3 linked regions of the Arabidopsis thaliana genome follow. The protein of the gene in region 1 binds, or shares a complex with, the protein of each later gene. Each region holds a gene or a part of one and is shown in the gene's direction. Other genes may lie near its edges.

Region 1 (5,912 bases):
CGGATTTGTTGATCTAACGGTTGAGATTGAAGAATTGCAAATCGGATTCAGCTTCTGAGGACGCGTGTAATTTATGCTCATTGAAAATAGAAGAAATTGATATATTTAGTCAAAAAGGTTATGAGATTTGAGTATTTCTTTTTATTTTTTATTTTTTTTTTGTTGGTCACATTGAATATTATTGCCTTTGGTAGTTCAGTCCTATATTTTATTTGAGAAACAAAATCAGAAAAGAATCTATAATTTGAAGCAACTTTCATATTGTAATTTGGTATTCCTATATTTTATTTGAGAAACAATATCAGAAAAGATCAAAAGAATCTATAATTTGTAGCAACTTTAAATATTGTAATAGGAAATCTTTTAAAATTTATCAATATGAAATTTGTTAATTTATAATAGGTCTTGAGATTTGATCATGTGACTTCTAAACACAAGTTATTGGGCTTTTGTTTAAGTAAAGCCCATGTGTCAAAGAAATGGATTGTTTTCCTAGTTAGTGAAATAATCTTATACACACAATTTAAAAACAATAGAGAAAATTAATGTTGAAATGAGCAGATTAATGTGGGGTTGTACATATCAAGGTGGAACTATCACAAGGAAGAACAAAGAGATATCTTGAGGTAACTACCCAAAGAAAGAGCAATGAAACCCTACCATGACAATTTGTCCAGACTATAACGAGTTAAATCATTATCATGAATTCCATACCATGGCAATTTGTTTTCTTTCAATGGGATGTCTACCATTCCAAAAAAGTTTTGCCATCAACAACCGCATCTGTTCTTTTGAGTAAATGTAATTTTGGTAAACTATGTAGTCTATAATCATTAGTTACAATATGGATCTGTAAAGTTGATTCAAAAACAATTGTGATGTTCTCGAACGGGATCACCATAAACTTCATCAAAAAAAATCCTTTAAGCGAGAGAAACTCGTGATTTTTCGAGACAACGATTGTGTCTATGAGTCTATCGTCCAACCTCATCCAATACCAATATGTTCAGTTATATCTAAGTTGTAAAGCACATAAAATCGATTTGTCAGTCAGCTCACATGTTTAAACCAAAGTCGTATTCCAATGCGAGACTTGGTTTCCTAGTCTGAGATAGGTAAATTTCTTTATATACTACCCTCTATGTAACGAGAGAGTGGTTCTTTTTTCACTTTTAATTCATGAGAGCACTTTCAAAACATTTTGCATGTCATTGCTCTCAAGATTTGGGCTCACAACTTTTCCGATGACTTCTCGGTCATATCTTGACCATTCGATCAATTTTTCGATTGCTTCTAGTCGATTCTTTCTCAACAAATAATTATTTACGTTTCCATCTTAAATTGCTCCCTAAGCTCTAAAACACATAACATATCATCTTTTTCCGATCTGGTATCATAATATTAAACGTGGTATTGTCATCATAAAATACCTCATCATCGTGTTTTCCAAATCACGACGTGTTTTTTTATTTGTGTAAAAGATTTACTGTAGTAATTTAGGCTCACATATAAAAATATTTCTAAACAATATATTATTTGTTGATTTTTTTTTTTAATCTACAATCAATTTGGTAAACTTACCATCACAAATTAATTATAAAATTTATGAACTAACAAAAAAAAATATAGTATTTATGCTTAATATATATATATATATATTTTAATTTATTTTGGGTACTAATCTCATATGAGTTGTGACCATATTAAGTAAATTTTGTAAAGCGCCTCTCCGATCACCGGCACAGAATCTAGTCCCCGTTTATTTTTTTAATATAAAAAGAGAGCAAACTCCAAAAAAAAAAAAAAAAAAAGCGAGAGAGAAATCAAAACCTTGTAAGGTTTCTTAGGGTTTCAATCGAAGCGGGAGAGAAAATCTCAGAAGAGAAGCCATGGATGAAGCTTTGACGAACGCTTCTGCAATCGGTGACCAACGCCAGAAAATCGAACAGTACAAACTCATCCTCTCCTCTGTTCTCTCTTCCAACGATCTTCTCCAAGCTCAGAGATTCATCGATCACAGTAATTTCGCATCTCCCTTCTTTCTCATGGTTTCAACTTCATAAGAGATTCGACAACTGCTTTTTGTTCTTATGGAATTCGGTTTATATCAGAATTTCTGGTTTGATTTTGATTTTTGCTTCCTCACAATTTTTCCAGTTCTTTCCGATGATGTCCCGTTGGTGGTTTCGAGGCAGCTTTTGCAGTCTTTCGCACAAGAGCTTGGGAGATTAGAACCGGAGACGCAGAAGGAGATTGCTCAATTTACTCTTACCCAGATTCAGCCTAGAGTTGTTTCCTTTGAGGAACAGGTTTGTTTTCTCTTCGTGATACCTTACTGTTTAGCAGCAATCGTGTACTTTTTAAACCCTAATTAGTTTACCTACTTAACATAAGTTGAGAGGTATGTAGAGTCGCTTTGCTATTGTACCGCTTTGGTATGTGAAATCTACACTGAAAGCTAATTTGAGATATTTGTTTACTAAGGATGCTGTATTTTGGGATAACTGAGACAATGTACGTTGTGTTGTTTTTCAATCTCTTTATTCTAAGAGATGAAACTGTTTGTGGTGTATTTGCAGGCACTTGTTATCAGAGAAAAACTTGCGGGTTTGTATGAATCAGAGCAGGAATGGTCAAAAGCAGCACAGATGTTGAGTGGAATTGATCTGGATTCTGGAATGAGGTGTGTGGCATTGAGCAGAATTTTGTTTTAGTTTCCTCTCTATGTTCTTTTGTGTTGCTTATTTTGGATTTGCGGAATTCTTTATTAGGGCCGTTGACGACAACTTCAAGCTTTCAAAGTGTATCCAAATTGCTCGTTTGTATCTCGAGGTTTGTCTTTCCCTTTCATGTACATATGCACAATAGATTCTGTGTCCTTTTCATTAATTTTTAAGCATGTAAATCGGTTATCTCTGTTTATGAGATGAATTTACGCATCGCAGTAATGATTTATAGCTAGTTTGTCTTGTTTCCTTCTGTGGGTGCGTGTCAATCAGTTACAGAAGTTAGATCTTAAAAGCACAAAAGAAACCCGTTGTTGAATGTTGATTCAATCTTCAAATATTTGGACATTTTTCTAGAGAGATTTTATTTAAAGTTAAGTCTCTTGACCAAATCTAAGTGTCATGAAATTAGGAATATCGACTGTTAAGAGCATTATTCTGCTTCACTACATCACTTTTTTATTTATTGCTTGTGAGAGTAAATTGAGGCTAGCAGAGTTGTATAAATACATTTAGTTAAATTTTTATTGTTCTCTAATACTTTTGTGTTTTGAAATTTTCAGGATGATGATGCTGTAAATGCAGAGGCTTTTATAAATAAAGCTTCTTTCTTAGTGAGCAATAGTCAGAATGAAGTTTTGAATTTGCAGTACAAGGTTGGACCACCTTAAAGTAAACTAAGAATTTATGTGCTGGGTGATTAAGGAGCATTCGTTTTCAAGTTTTAATATATTTCTGTTTCAGGTCTGCTATGCTAGAATTTTGGACATGAAAAGAAAGTTTTTAGAGGCTGCACTTCGGTATTACGGCATATCTCAGATTGAGCAACGCCAAATAGGGGATGAGTAAGTGAACTGACTTATCTTTCTGCTACATCTTTTCTTCAAATTCTCCTCTGTTGGTTTCTTGTTCGGATGGAATAATGATTAATTAATCTTCTATCCATCTTTGGAGACTCTGTATTTAAAGCTAGTTTCCTACTTTTCCCCTCTCTGTGATTGAATAGTGTTCCTCTTTTCTCTCTCCAATACCTTTGTGATATCTCATATTCTGAAACGGTTATAATGTGTTTTCTAATCTTTTCAGAGAGATTGATGAGAATGCTTTAGAGCAGGCCCTATCAGCTGCTGTCACATGTACCATATTAGCTGGAGCTGGTCCTCAGCGTTCTCGTGTTCTTGCAACTTTATACAAAGTAATTCCCTTTTGGATTACAAATAGAATACTTTCCTGCTTGCTTATTTATTGTTTTTTATTTCTCAATATCTTTCTATTAACAGGATGAGCGTTGCTCCAAGCTGAAGATTTATCCTATCCTGCAGAAGGTTCTATCTCTTATTACCTACAACTGTTTCCTCTAGTAGACAAACATACATTTTCATGCTATTGGACATATAGTATTGTTTGAACTCACATATTACTCTTGTTTAAGCCGGCATGATGTTTATTAGATTTGATTCATTATCAAATCAAACAAGTTCACCATAGCTTATAGAGGCTTGGTTAGAAATGCATGGTAACTTTTTGTTTTTTAATGCAACTTTATAGGTGTATCTGGAAAGGATTTTAAGGAGACCAGAGATTGATGCCTTTTCAGAAGAACTAAGGCCACATCAGGTATGGACTGTGAATTAAGATTTAGATGTAGTTTTTGGATAACATCTGAGTTGGTAAGTAGGTTCATAACAAGTTATTACACTGTTGATTTCAACAGAAAGCATCTTTGCCTGACAAATCCACTGTTCTTGACCGTGCTATGATTGAGCATAACCTTCTTAGTGCAAGCAAACTCTACACAAACATAAGGTATGAGATGTCGAATTAGTATCTTCTTTGTGTGTCTAGACTTGTTTGATTTTCTCAACTATTTTATATCCTAGGTTTGATGAATTGGGAACTCTGTTGGCGATTGATCCAAGAAAAGCGGAGAAGATAGCAGCTAATATGATTGGGCAAGACCGAATGAGGGGTTCCATAGATCAGGTAAGCAATAAAAAATACTTTGTTGGTTGAGCTATGTAAGAGCCCTGAAGAGAATTCTCGTTAGTGTTGATTTTCTAGAAGGAGGTTCCTAGACGTGTTTTAATATTTTATGTTACTGTTCAGGAGGAGGCTGTGATTCATTTTGAGGATGACGTGGAGGAACTACAACAATGGGATCAACAGGTTTTCTATCTCTCCCTCCCACTCTTTGTCTCTTTAGAGCAACTATATATGATTGTTTGTTTTATTGGCGTGGAATATGACTGAAAAGTGGAATCTGTGCAGATATCGGGATTATGCCAAGCTCTCAATGACATTCTGGATGGGATGGCCAAGAAAGGCATGTCTGTTCCTGTCTGATTGACTCCCAAGCCGTGAGATCGCCTCATGATGATTAATTTGTATTAGCCGAGCAACGGATCGAGTCTCATGCCAAAGTTTTTGCCAAATTGCTGTGTTTTGGGGACAGTCATTTTCACCTTATTTACTTTCTTGCAAATTCATGTCTATGTCTTTAGGTTAATTGATTCAGAGAGGAAAAGATTAGGCATTGAATGAGGATTTTTAAGAAAGTTGAAAAGAGGTTCAGGGTACATTTTTACCTCAGAACAAATTATTTTATGCATAGATGAACCTTTCTTGTGCAAGAGAATGATGAAACTAGTAGTTTTTTTTTTTTTTTTGGCTCAACAACAACTTCTCATTTACCAAACGGTGATTACACAGAGTCTGAATACACACAATCTTTTATCCAAGCCGGCACCTTTAGAATACATTTTAGGATCATAATTCAATAAAGAAAGAGATTCCCTAGCAATTCTATCTGCCACACTGTTTCCTTCACGCTTTATATGCATCACCTTCACCTCCTCAAATTGTTGGAATATATGTCTAATGTCCTGAATTCTTGGGGCCAAATTTGGATAATCAGTATCATCCCCTAACAGAGACACTAGATGTTGGGAATCTGATTCAAAGATGACTTTCTTATAGTTAAATCTTGACATTGAAAGAGCTGCCCATCTCATAGCTTCAAGTTCCACTTCCAACACTGTCTGAACTCTCGGGATTGCACGAAGTCCCAGCCACAACATTTTCCCCTCATGATTTCTCAGATGAAACTAGTAGTTACATATAACATTTTCCCATTCGTTGTTTAATTTTTATTCTTGAACGATCAAAACTTATGCGAATTTAAGAAAT
Region 2 (4,543 bases), 5.5 Mb from region 1:
CCACGGAAGAACTCTGACCCCTAATGTAAAAATTGCAAACCCATCAGCCATCACAGAGGCTAGATAATCAGAGTCAATACTACCATTGTAAAACCAAAACTTTCCACAACATTAACCTGAGCACCCGGTTGCAGAAGTGGCTGATCTAACTCAGAACCAGGAAGTGACCTTATCTGTTGGTCTTCAGAGTAAAATTGTGGCCGAGGACCTGACCGGTTTGCATTAGGTATCTCCTTGAGCCTTTCCTGCACAACAAATCACCAATCATCAACATTTCTTCAAATTCTCAGGAAATTTTAAACCTTTAAACAATTGTCAGCCAAATCACTTGACATAATCGAAGAACGTCTAAAACCCTAACACTACGGAAAGAAAAATCGAAACTTGGCAAGCAAATAACAAAACCCAACGAAAAATGAGATCTAATTCGACTTCTTAGTTCCAGGAGAACCAAGGAAAAGGCGAAGAATGGAATCAGGAGACTTCAAATGTCAACACTGTTTCGATCAAAAAGGAATCAGGAAGCTAACCTGGGTTTTGGAAGACGAACCAAGTAAAGCGTTGGTGAGAGCTCCGAGAGGATTAGAAGAAGAAGACGAACCAGGAACGGCACAAGCGGCTCCGCCGTTAACAAGGTCTCTCATCGCCATGTTTCCAACGGGTTTCTACTCCTCCGCCGCAATCACCGTCGTTGAATCTATCAGTATGGTTTCCTCCGTTGTCCGGAATTGATCATCAACCTCCCAAATCCTAATCTTTAGTTTGGCTCGTCTCGTGGCGGTGTTTTTTTTGTTTGTTGTGTTTGGTCACAGCTTCGTAAGAAATTATTAAATTTTTTGATAGTATTTTGGTAATTAATATTTATATATTATCCACACCACACACATTTTTAGGCTCACCAACACATTTTTGTTTAGTTATTTATTTTTGTGAAAAAACCGTTTTTTACAGTATCCGTAATTAAAAATGAATTGTTGTGAATATAGTTTTTTTTTATCTTTCTTTATCAAGATATGTTTTATCTTTTTGTCCGATTTGCTGCCACTTTTGAATTTTGTAGTTTCCTATTAGTGTTGAATTATATTTGCTTGATCATACCAAAGATAAATAAATTATATTGCTTGATTTTTGCTGGGTTTAGTTATATTTCTTGATTGATTGTGCAATGCGTTACAAACGAAGGTAGATTCTACTCTTGTACTCATATCACACATTTGGACGACCAACATGACTTCACTAATTTCATCAATAACTAAAAAAAAAAAAAAAATTCATCTACATCAACAATAGTTACAATATGCTAGGCATCTCTAGATTTTTTTTTCCTTTCATTAACTTGCAAGAATTTACACACTAGAAATCAAACATTTTGTGGAAAAAATTATAACCTTTAGTCTAACCACTGAACTATTGAACTTTCATATTGAAAAATTTGATGAATGTTGTCTGTTTTCAAATTTCTAGTACATTTTTTGTCAACTTCAGATATCTGATTTTATGAGTCTCAATCGTTTGGTTTATCTTATTTTCGTTTGTTAATTAATATAATTAGTTTCCAAAATGAAAAAATGTAATTGGAAAAACAAGTCATGAGGCCCAACCGCATATATAAGTCCTACGCTCGGCCCATACAGAAAAAACTAATATCCATATAGTTGACCCGGAAGACCCGATCTAGGATCCGAATCCACATTGATTTAAATAAAAAAAATCTTCATAAAAAAACTAAAAACCCAAAAACCAAAGAATTCATCAAAGGAGAGAGAGATCGACAATGGCACCTTCGTCATCAAGCGGTTTAACCTTCAAGCTACATCCTTTGGTAATCGTCAACATATCGGATCACTACACTAGGGTCAAAACTCAGCTCAATCCTCCTGCTTCAATCTGCGCAAGCGGCCATGGCTCAAACAACGGCGAAGCAATGTTCCAGCAAAACCCTAGGGTTTACGGATGTGTGATCGGTGTCCAGAGAGGTCGTACTGTTGAGATATTCAACAGTTTCGAGCTTTTATATGATCCTTCTACTCAAACCCTTGATAGATCTTTCCTCGAGAAGAAGCAAGAGCTCTGTAAGCTAAAGCTCACTCTTTTTATTCTCAACTATTGATGCAATCGTAAATTAAAGTTTGAACTTTTATCTGGTTTTATTGTTTATTAGATAAGAAGGTGTTCCCTGATTTCTATATTCTGGGATGGTACTCTACGGGAAGTGATGCTGAGGAATCTGATATGCATATCCATAAAGCTGTGAGTCCAATGCTCTCTCTAGTATTTTTGTATAATTGAGATTTGGTCTCTAAAAGTGTGGTTTTTGTGTCTGCTCTTGGTGACAGTTGATGGATATCAATGAATCTCCTGTTTATGTGCTTTTAAACCCTGCTATCAATCACACACAGAAGGATCTTCCAGTGACTATTTATGAAAGTGGTATGCTTCTTATAATGTCATATGGTTCTGTGGGTACATTCTGATATGTTAGCATGTTAGTATAGGTATATGCGTAGTTCAGAGTTTCTAGATATCTTCCCAAGTCTTTATCTTTATTGACTTCCAGATTTAGGTCAGATTGTTTTACAAGATCCTAACTTTTCTCTTTGTTTCATTGATTGATCTTCATTACTTGAAGAATTGCATGTCATTGATGGAATCCCGCAGCTAATTTTCGCTCATACAAGCTACACAATCGAGGTCTGTGCTTAAGTTTGATTCTGCAAATAATTTTTTTTTTTTTTGTCAAACATTCTGCAATTTAATCTATGTTATGAAAGTGTACATTGACTAAGATTTTGAGGTGTTATACAATGTAGACAGTTGAAGCTGAACGGATATCAGTTGATCATGTTGCACATCTTAAACCATCTGACGGAGGCTCAGCAGCAACCCAGTGTGAGCCTTATGTCACTAATACATATCATACTCCACTTCCTGAGTCTTACTGTTTTTGGCTGATTATTCGTTCATATGCAGTGGCTGCTCATCTTACTGGTATACATAGTGCCATCAAGATGCTTAATAGCAGAATCAGAGTGCTTTACCAAAATCTTGCTGCAATGCAGAAAGGTATATTCTGTTCTTTCCCAAGTTCCGATTCTTATCACCGTGGTTTCATGTTTACCAGTCCAGGATTCTAGCTGAAGATAGTCAAAGTTGTGTAAGTGTAATAATTTATCTGCCAACTCATTTATGTGTGTAGGTGATAAATCTTGTGACAACTCAGTTCTGAGACAAGTATCTAGCCTGCTAAGAAGATTGCCTGCCATGGAATCAGAGAGATTTCAAGATAATTTCTTGATGGTGAGTTAGTTAGATCTGCACTTGATTCTTTTCAGTGTAGCTTATTGTCTGAGATATTTCGCAACTTATGCTGGCATTTTTTCTTTTTGCAGGAGTACAACGACAAATTACTAATAACTTACCTAGCGATGATTACAAATTGTTCCAGGTTTGTACCTAATGCAACATTCTAAAGTATTTGAAAGCAAGTATATAGGCTAGCGAATGCTCTTTAACTAGTGGTTCTTTAGGAACTGTGAAAGATACGGTTTTCACCGGGCTGGTGGATTCTGTTATATCAGTTAATAATTTTGTTTGCTCAATCTGCAGCAACATGAACGAGATGGTCGACAAATTCAACACCGCATATGACAGAAACACTCGAAGAGGTGGAAGAACTGCATTCATGTAAAAGATCCTTTCCAGCGATTCTAGTTCTAAAGATCTTCTCTTGGTTCCTGAAACCATTTTTAACATTGCCTCTGTGAGAATCTATAACTCAGACGGCAAGACTTTATCCTCTTCATTGTTTCTATATCTATAAGAACATCTGCTTATCTATCAAAGCTCTTGTTTGATCTTGAACAAGTTTCTATTGTTAGTAAAAAGATTTTAAGGTTTGATTCTATCAGTCTCTCTAGTTACATCCACATCAGTCTCCAGTTAGCAATTGCAGTATTGCTACACAACACTCACTTTTTTCTTCTTTGTTGATTTCAATATAAGATAAAGAACCAGTAAAAAAGAAGACAAAACCAAGGAATGAACAATAAAACAGCCTTTACCTTCCCCAAAGTTTGAAACCAATAAATGAAAGAAGAAGAAGAAGCAGAAATTAAAAGTTATTATAAGGAGTGACCAAATGCAGAAGAAGAAGAAGAAGAGTAAATTTCAAATCTGAGGTAATCTACTCATGATCTGGTTATATACCGATTGTCCTGAATCTGAAACCGGTTCAACCTTTGGTTCCATCCCTCTCTGCATCATTGCTTCACTCATCCCAACCGGTTGTGTCATATACGGGTGAGGCAAACCCGGCATTTTCCCTTGACCATACGCTAAACCAGGCATTGAAAGATTAACCAAACCGGTTTGTCCTAAACCGAAGGAGAAACCAGAAGGAGGACCCAAATGTGGCTGAAAGCTAAAGGGACGGCTAAAAGGAGACTGATTGTTAGTTGTGACTTGTCTGTCGAATCTCCCACGTGGCGGCTCTGAGTGATGACCGTTGTGGTAATGGTGAGAAACTGCGGCTGAACCGCCGCTG
Region 3 (5,028 bases), on another chromosome or scaffold:
TGTCATCAATTGTACCAAGTTTATAAAGATATAGAAACTGAGGGCGTATGAATTGTTTCAAGCTAGACATCAACAAAAAAAATGTTATCCACTTTCTCAAATCTATATATACTAAAGGATGTGTATTTAATCTAGTAGTTTAAATTATTTGTGTAAAATTTACAAACTTTATGTTATTTAATTATAGATTTTAAAAACTTTAATGAAATCCAATGTTATTAAACTAATAATTTAAAAATTAACTTTAAAATCAATTGTTATTGAAAACAGTTTGTGGAGTTGATTCTTATTCATCTTGAAAGATTTGAGAAAACTTCTTTAGTTACAAATACACAAATTCAAATCTCATGGTTTTAGATAGAATTTGAAAAGATTTCTATAATTTTAAGAAAGTTGATGTGATTAATTGTACAATCTTTTCAAATTCCATCTACAATCATGAGATTTGTTTTCAATAACAGTTGATTTAAAAGTAAATTTTAAAATCGTTAGTTCAATAACACTTGATTTTAATAGAGTTTTTAAAATCCATGATTGATAAATTTTACACAAATCACTTAAAATACTAGATTGAATACACTTCTACAAAATCATCAAAATCATATAACTACTTACCCTCCCCCTCCCACCCCCCTCTAAATTAACCGTCATTTTAACAAAAACTGCATGTAACAAAACTTTCAAATTTTACCGAATGTGACAAAACTTTCAAAACTGCATGTAACAAAACTTTCAAATTTTACCGAATGTGACAAAACTTTCAAATGGGACAACACTTTCAAAAACAGCAACATTTACCACATGTCACAAAACTTTCAAATTTTACTTTTATACTTTCACGTAATCTAATTCTATTACCACTTTGTTAGCAACCACTCCTTCCCCATGATCTCAAAATGTATCCTCTCCTCTAAACTTTCTTCCACTTTTTTTTTTATAAGTAATTGTAACAGTCAAACAGATGCATTAACTTCTTCTTTATTGCTCTTCTTTCTCACAAACTCAGAAGATCTTCCATTTTTTTTTTCAAAATCCAACTAAAGGCAATTATGTTTTATTTTGCCAAAATATTTTGATATATGATGTAATTTGGCATTTATTTTGTATCAGCATAGCAGGGGCGGCCATAATCTTAGTATATGCATATAATTGAGGCTGCTCTTAAATTTTAGCGTATTTATATTGTAGTGAATTCTTTGTCTTGTATAATATTTTGGATGTAGGACCTGAATGTTGGTACATGAAGACAATCTAATATTTTTAAAGCAGTTATCATTAAGCATTTAAGCAAGTAATGAAACACAACAACACGGTAGAAATTTAAGCAAGCACTTTGATGATCTCTCTCCTTAACTCAAAACATCTTTATAGTATTGTTGTGTTTCATTATTTGTTCTATGTTAATTGCTTTACAAATATTACACTGTGTCCTTGTACAAATATTTAGGTCTAATGCTAAAACTAATTTTTCTTTTGATTCGCAACACTCAAAATAAAAAACTGATCGAAAGCTAACCTTATGTTATACTCTCTGAGTTCTGACACAAACAAGAGAAGAAAAGAGAGGAAAGTGATTTAGATGCTTTGATCGATGATAGAATGAGAAGACAAAAGCTTGACTTTATAGCTAAAGATCAACGTCTATGCCATAAAGTCAAGCATAATTCACACAATATATAAGTTGAACATGCTATCAAAATAAGCTTACTACATTGGTGAAATTATGCATGTGTGGATATCTCAAGAAATATGCATGAGATGCATTACTCTTCTTTTACGCTTTGTGATTTAAGATATTGTATGCCAAATCTATGTGTTGCCAACATTGATTTCTATACCAATTGGTTGATACAATGACTGGAATTTATCCTTTGATTTGCCAACATTGATTTCTATAAAAGTTAAACAAACTAAAAATAAAAAGGGAAAAATATTTAATAAAAAATGTACAATATTAAATTTCCATAAAAATTTTATATGGTTAATGTTTTGGATTAGCATTAGTCCCCAAATCCCATATTAAGTAAATCCATTTTGAGTTTTGTTCTCGCAAACCGGTTTAACCCAAGAACCCAAAGATCTCTCTCTATTTGTTTGCCTTCTTCTTTCTTTCTGACTCAAACCCTCAAATCAATTCTCGCGATTAAGCAAAACCCTAGATTTATTCTACTCTTCGAAGTCGATTTCAATGGAAGGTTCCTCGTCAGCCATCGCGAGGAAGACATGGGAGCTAGAGAACAACATTCTCCCAGTGGAACCAACCGATTCAGCCTCCGACAGTATATTCCACTACGACGACGCTTCACAAGCCAAAATCCAGCAGGAGAAGCCATGGGCCTCCGATCCTAACTACTTCAAGCGCGTTCACATCTCAGCCCTTGCTCTTCTCAAGATGGTGGTTCACGCTCGCTCCGGTGGCACAATCGAGATCATGGGTCTTATGCAGGGTAAAACCGAGGGTGATACAATCATCGTTATGGATGCTTTTGCTTTGCCTGTTGAAGGTACTGAGACTAGGGTTAATGCTCAGTCTGATGCCTATGAGTATATGGTTGAATACTCTCAGACCAGCAAGCTGGTAAGATATCTCTTATTCATCTCTCGCTGTAGCTCCTTGTTTAATTAGCTAGTTGCTACTTGGATCCTTTATGCAAGATTTTGCGAGTGTTTGATTGATTGGTTATGACTGTAACTTTGAACTATAGGCTGGGAGGTTGGAGAACGTTGTTGGATGGTATCACTCTCACCCTGGGTATGGATGTTGGCTCTCGGGTATTGATGTTTCGACACAGATGCTTAACCAACAGTATCAGGAGCCATTCTTAGCTGTTGTTATTGATCCAACAAGGACTGTTTCGGCTGGTAAGGTTGAGATTGGGGCATTCAGAACATATCCAGAGGGACATAAGATCTCGGATGATCATGTTTCTGAGTATCAGACTATCCCTCTTAACAAGATTGAGGACTTTGGTGTACATTGCAAACAGGTATGTATAATTCTTATTTATCGATTTTAAAACTTGGGAGGGTTTTAATCATCGATCTTATGATTCATTTTTTTTGTATGTGGCAGTACTACTCATTGGACATCACTTATTTCAAGTCATCTCTCGATAGTCACCTTCTGGATCTCCTTTGGAACAAGTACTGGGTGAACACTCTTTCTTCTTCCCCACTGTTGGGCAATGGAGACTATGTTGCCGGGCAAATATCAGACTTGGGTAAATTCTTGTATATATGAAAGAGCAAGTTAATTTACTTTTCATCCAGGTCGTAGTTTGATATATCCTCTTTTCTTACCATTTAATTGTTTACATGATGAAGCTGAGAAGCTCGAGCAAGCGGAGAGTCAGCTCGCTAACTCCCGGTATGGAGGAATTGCGCCAGCCGGTCACCAAAGGAGGAAAGAGGTTTGTCTAAATGGTTGCTTTAGCAAAATTATTTGTTATGTTCTCAATGTTTATTGACTGTCTGAGATACTGGACCATGATCTTGAGCTCATACACTTGCCACTTTTCAAGCTTGTTCCTGTGTAGAAACTTTTCATTTGGCTAATTAACTGCTACTATCAACATCTAGCAACTTGGATTAAATTTGAACTTTTTATTCTTAGGCATTATGTTGACTGGATATTGACTAATAGAAACTCTACCTGCAAAACACTATGTTTTACCTTTTCTGGGTTTGAAATTTCACAATTGAGTGTATGTTTAGTCAAAAATATACAGAGCTATTAAAGTTTGAACTAGTAAAACAGGGAGACTTTGATGTATCAATTTGTCAACGAGTTGTTGCCAATAGTCTATGTCTGCTTCCTAGAGTTCTGTTATCTCTGGCTGTGTGACTCATTTTGATATTGTTTTAATCTTCTTTACATAAAAACATTTGTTTTGGAGATTACATTACCTAAGTATATGTGTTGTGGACCACTTTCAGGATGAGCCTCAACTCGCGAAGATAACTCGGGATAGTGCAAAGATAACTGTCGAGCAGGTCCATGGACTAATGTCACAGGTGAGTAAATACAATCTGACAATGCTGATCCTATTTCCCCTTGCGGTTAATGGATCCATGAAATTGACTTAAAAAGTCTTTCATCCATCAATGTGCAGGTTATCAAAGACATCTTGTTCAATTCCGCTCGTCAGTCCAAGAAGTCTGCTGACGACTCATCAGATCCAGAGCCCATGATTACATCGTGAAGTTGGTCTATTCTTTTGTTTTTTGGCTGCGGAAATTGACTATCGGTTTGACCCGGTTTATGAGGCAATGCCCATTGTTCCCTATATCTCTAGTGTAGTATCTGCTTCAGACAAAGATCTTTGGGTTATTAAATGACATTAACATAAATCGATCATTATGTTTTTGCGTTTGACTATCTTGATTTAGTGGTATTAAAAACCAAATTCCAGATACACACGTGATGTCACAGTAATCATGTGCCTGTTACGGAACCATGTGCAAAAAATTGACACAAGCATACAAATGTTCTCCAACGATTGAAGCAACAATGATTCTAGGCCCTCTTTTCTTTCTGTTCTTCATCACATGAAATTCATCAGGATGTTGTTTTTCACATTTATGTTTGAACAGCATTTCTTTTGTTAAAAGCGAACAAATTCTATTCTAAAACCGAAATTGTCATTACAACAAGACCACGATTTAAGGGTACTAAAAGCGGATTAAGATTTCTGCATTCGAACAAACTGACTACTAAACGAACATCAGGCCGAGAAAACAGTCGGTAGGAAGAGATAACGTGTGAAGTTACTTGAGTAGGATTAAGAGTAAGGTAGTAGTAATTGATAGAAGCTGCGTGGGGCTTAATCAATAATGACATCCTCACTTAACCAGCATTACTGGAAAACAAGAATAAGAAACCACATGATGATGTCAAAGACTTTTTGGGCCTTCGCGTATCCCTAAATGGGCCTATTTACGGCCTAATACTTGTCTAATGTATAGTTGGGTAGAACAAGAAGGTCCGAGAGTTCGAAGCTTAAGCCATTCTATCTTTTCTGGGGATCT

The links.
Region 2: COP8 (region 1) and CSN6A share a complex: the UniProt entries of both Arabidopsis thaliana proteins name them as parts of the CSN complex.
Region 3: COP8 (region 1) and CSN5A share a complex: the UniProt entries of both Arabidopsis thaliana proteins name them as parts of the CSN complex.

The regions. Positions count from the first base shown.
Region 1 is NC_003076.8:17,236,627-17,242,538, reverse strand, and holds COP8 (Proteasome component (PCI) domain protein), read left to right. Parts: upstream 1-1,722; 5' UTR 1,723-1,889; coding exon 1,890-2,019; intron 2,020-2,157; coding exon 2,158-2,309; intron 2,310-2,579; coding exon 2,580-2,683; intron 2,684-2,771; coding exon 2,772-2,832; intron 2,833-3,289; coding exon 3,290-3,382; intron 3,383-3,470; coding exon 3,471-3,571; intron 3,572-3,812; coding exon 3,813-3,921; intron 3,922-4,006; coding exon 4,007-4,051; intron 4,052-4,274; coding exon 4,275-4,343; intron 4,344-4,440; coding exon 4,441-4,532; intron 4,533-4,606; coding exon 4,607-4,709; intron 4,710-4,832; coding exon 4,833-4,892; intron 4,893-4,994; coding exon 4,995-5,069; 3' UTR 5,070-5,386; downstream 5,387-5,912. Other genes in the region: AT5G42965 (Polynucleotidyl transferase, ribonuclease H-like superfamily protein), read right to left, coding at 5,414-5,803. UniProt on the Arabidopsis thaliana protein: Component of the COP9 signalosome complex (CSN), a complex involved in various cellular and developmental processes such as photomorphogenesis and auxin and jasmonate responses.
Region 2 is NC_003076.8:22,782,762-22,787,304, reverse strand, and holds CSN6A (COP9 signalosome subunit 6A), read left to right. Parts: upstream 1-1,699; 5' UTR 1,700-1,774; coding exon 1,775-2,072; intron 2,073-2,161; coding exon 2,162-2,250; intron 2,251-2,336; coding exon 2,337-2,430; intron 2,431-2,629; coding exon 2,630-2,691; intron 2,692-2,810; coding exon 2,811-2,889; intron 2,890-2,970; coding exon 2,971-3,063; intron 3,064-3,196; coding exon 3,197-3,297; intron 3,298-3,389; coding exon 3,390-3,445; intron 3,446-3,606; coding exon 3,607-3,688; 3' UTR 3,689-3,921; downstream 3,922-4,543. Other genes in the region: PEX5 (peroxin 5), read right to left, coding at 1-20, 117-245, 531-650; WRKY2 (WRKY DNA-binding protein 2), read right to left, coding at 4,168-4,543. UniProt on the Arabidopsis thaliana protein: Component of the COP9 signalosome complex (CSN), a complex involved in various cellular and developmental processes such as photomorphogenesis and auxin and jasmonate responses.
Region 3 is NC_003070.9:8,109,056-8,114,083, reverse strand, and holds CSN5A (COP9 signalosome 5A), read left to right. Parts: upstream 1-2,022; 5' UTR 2,023-2,188; coding exon 2,189-2,578; intron 2,579-2,705; coding exon 2,706-2,987; intron 2,988-3,073; coding exon 3,074-3,221; intron 3,222-3,324; coding exon 3,325-3,410; intron 3,411-3,936; coding exon 3,937-4,014; coding exon of another isoform or gene 4,015-4,086; exon of another isoform or gene 4,087-4,112; coding exon 4,113-4,202; 3' UTR 4,203-4,510; downstream 4,511-5,028. UniProt on the Arabidopsis thaliana protein: Probable protease subunit of the COP9 signalosome complex (CSN), a complex involved in various cellular and developmental processes such as photomorphogenesis and auxin and jasmonate responses.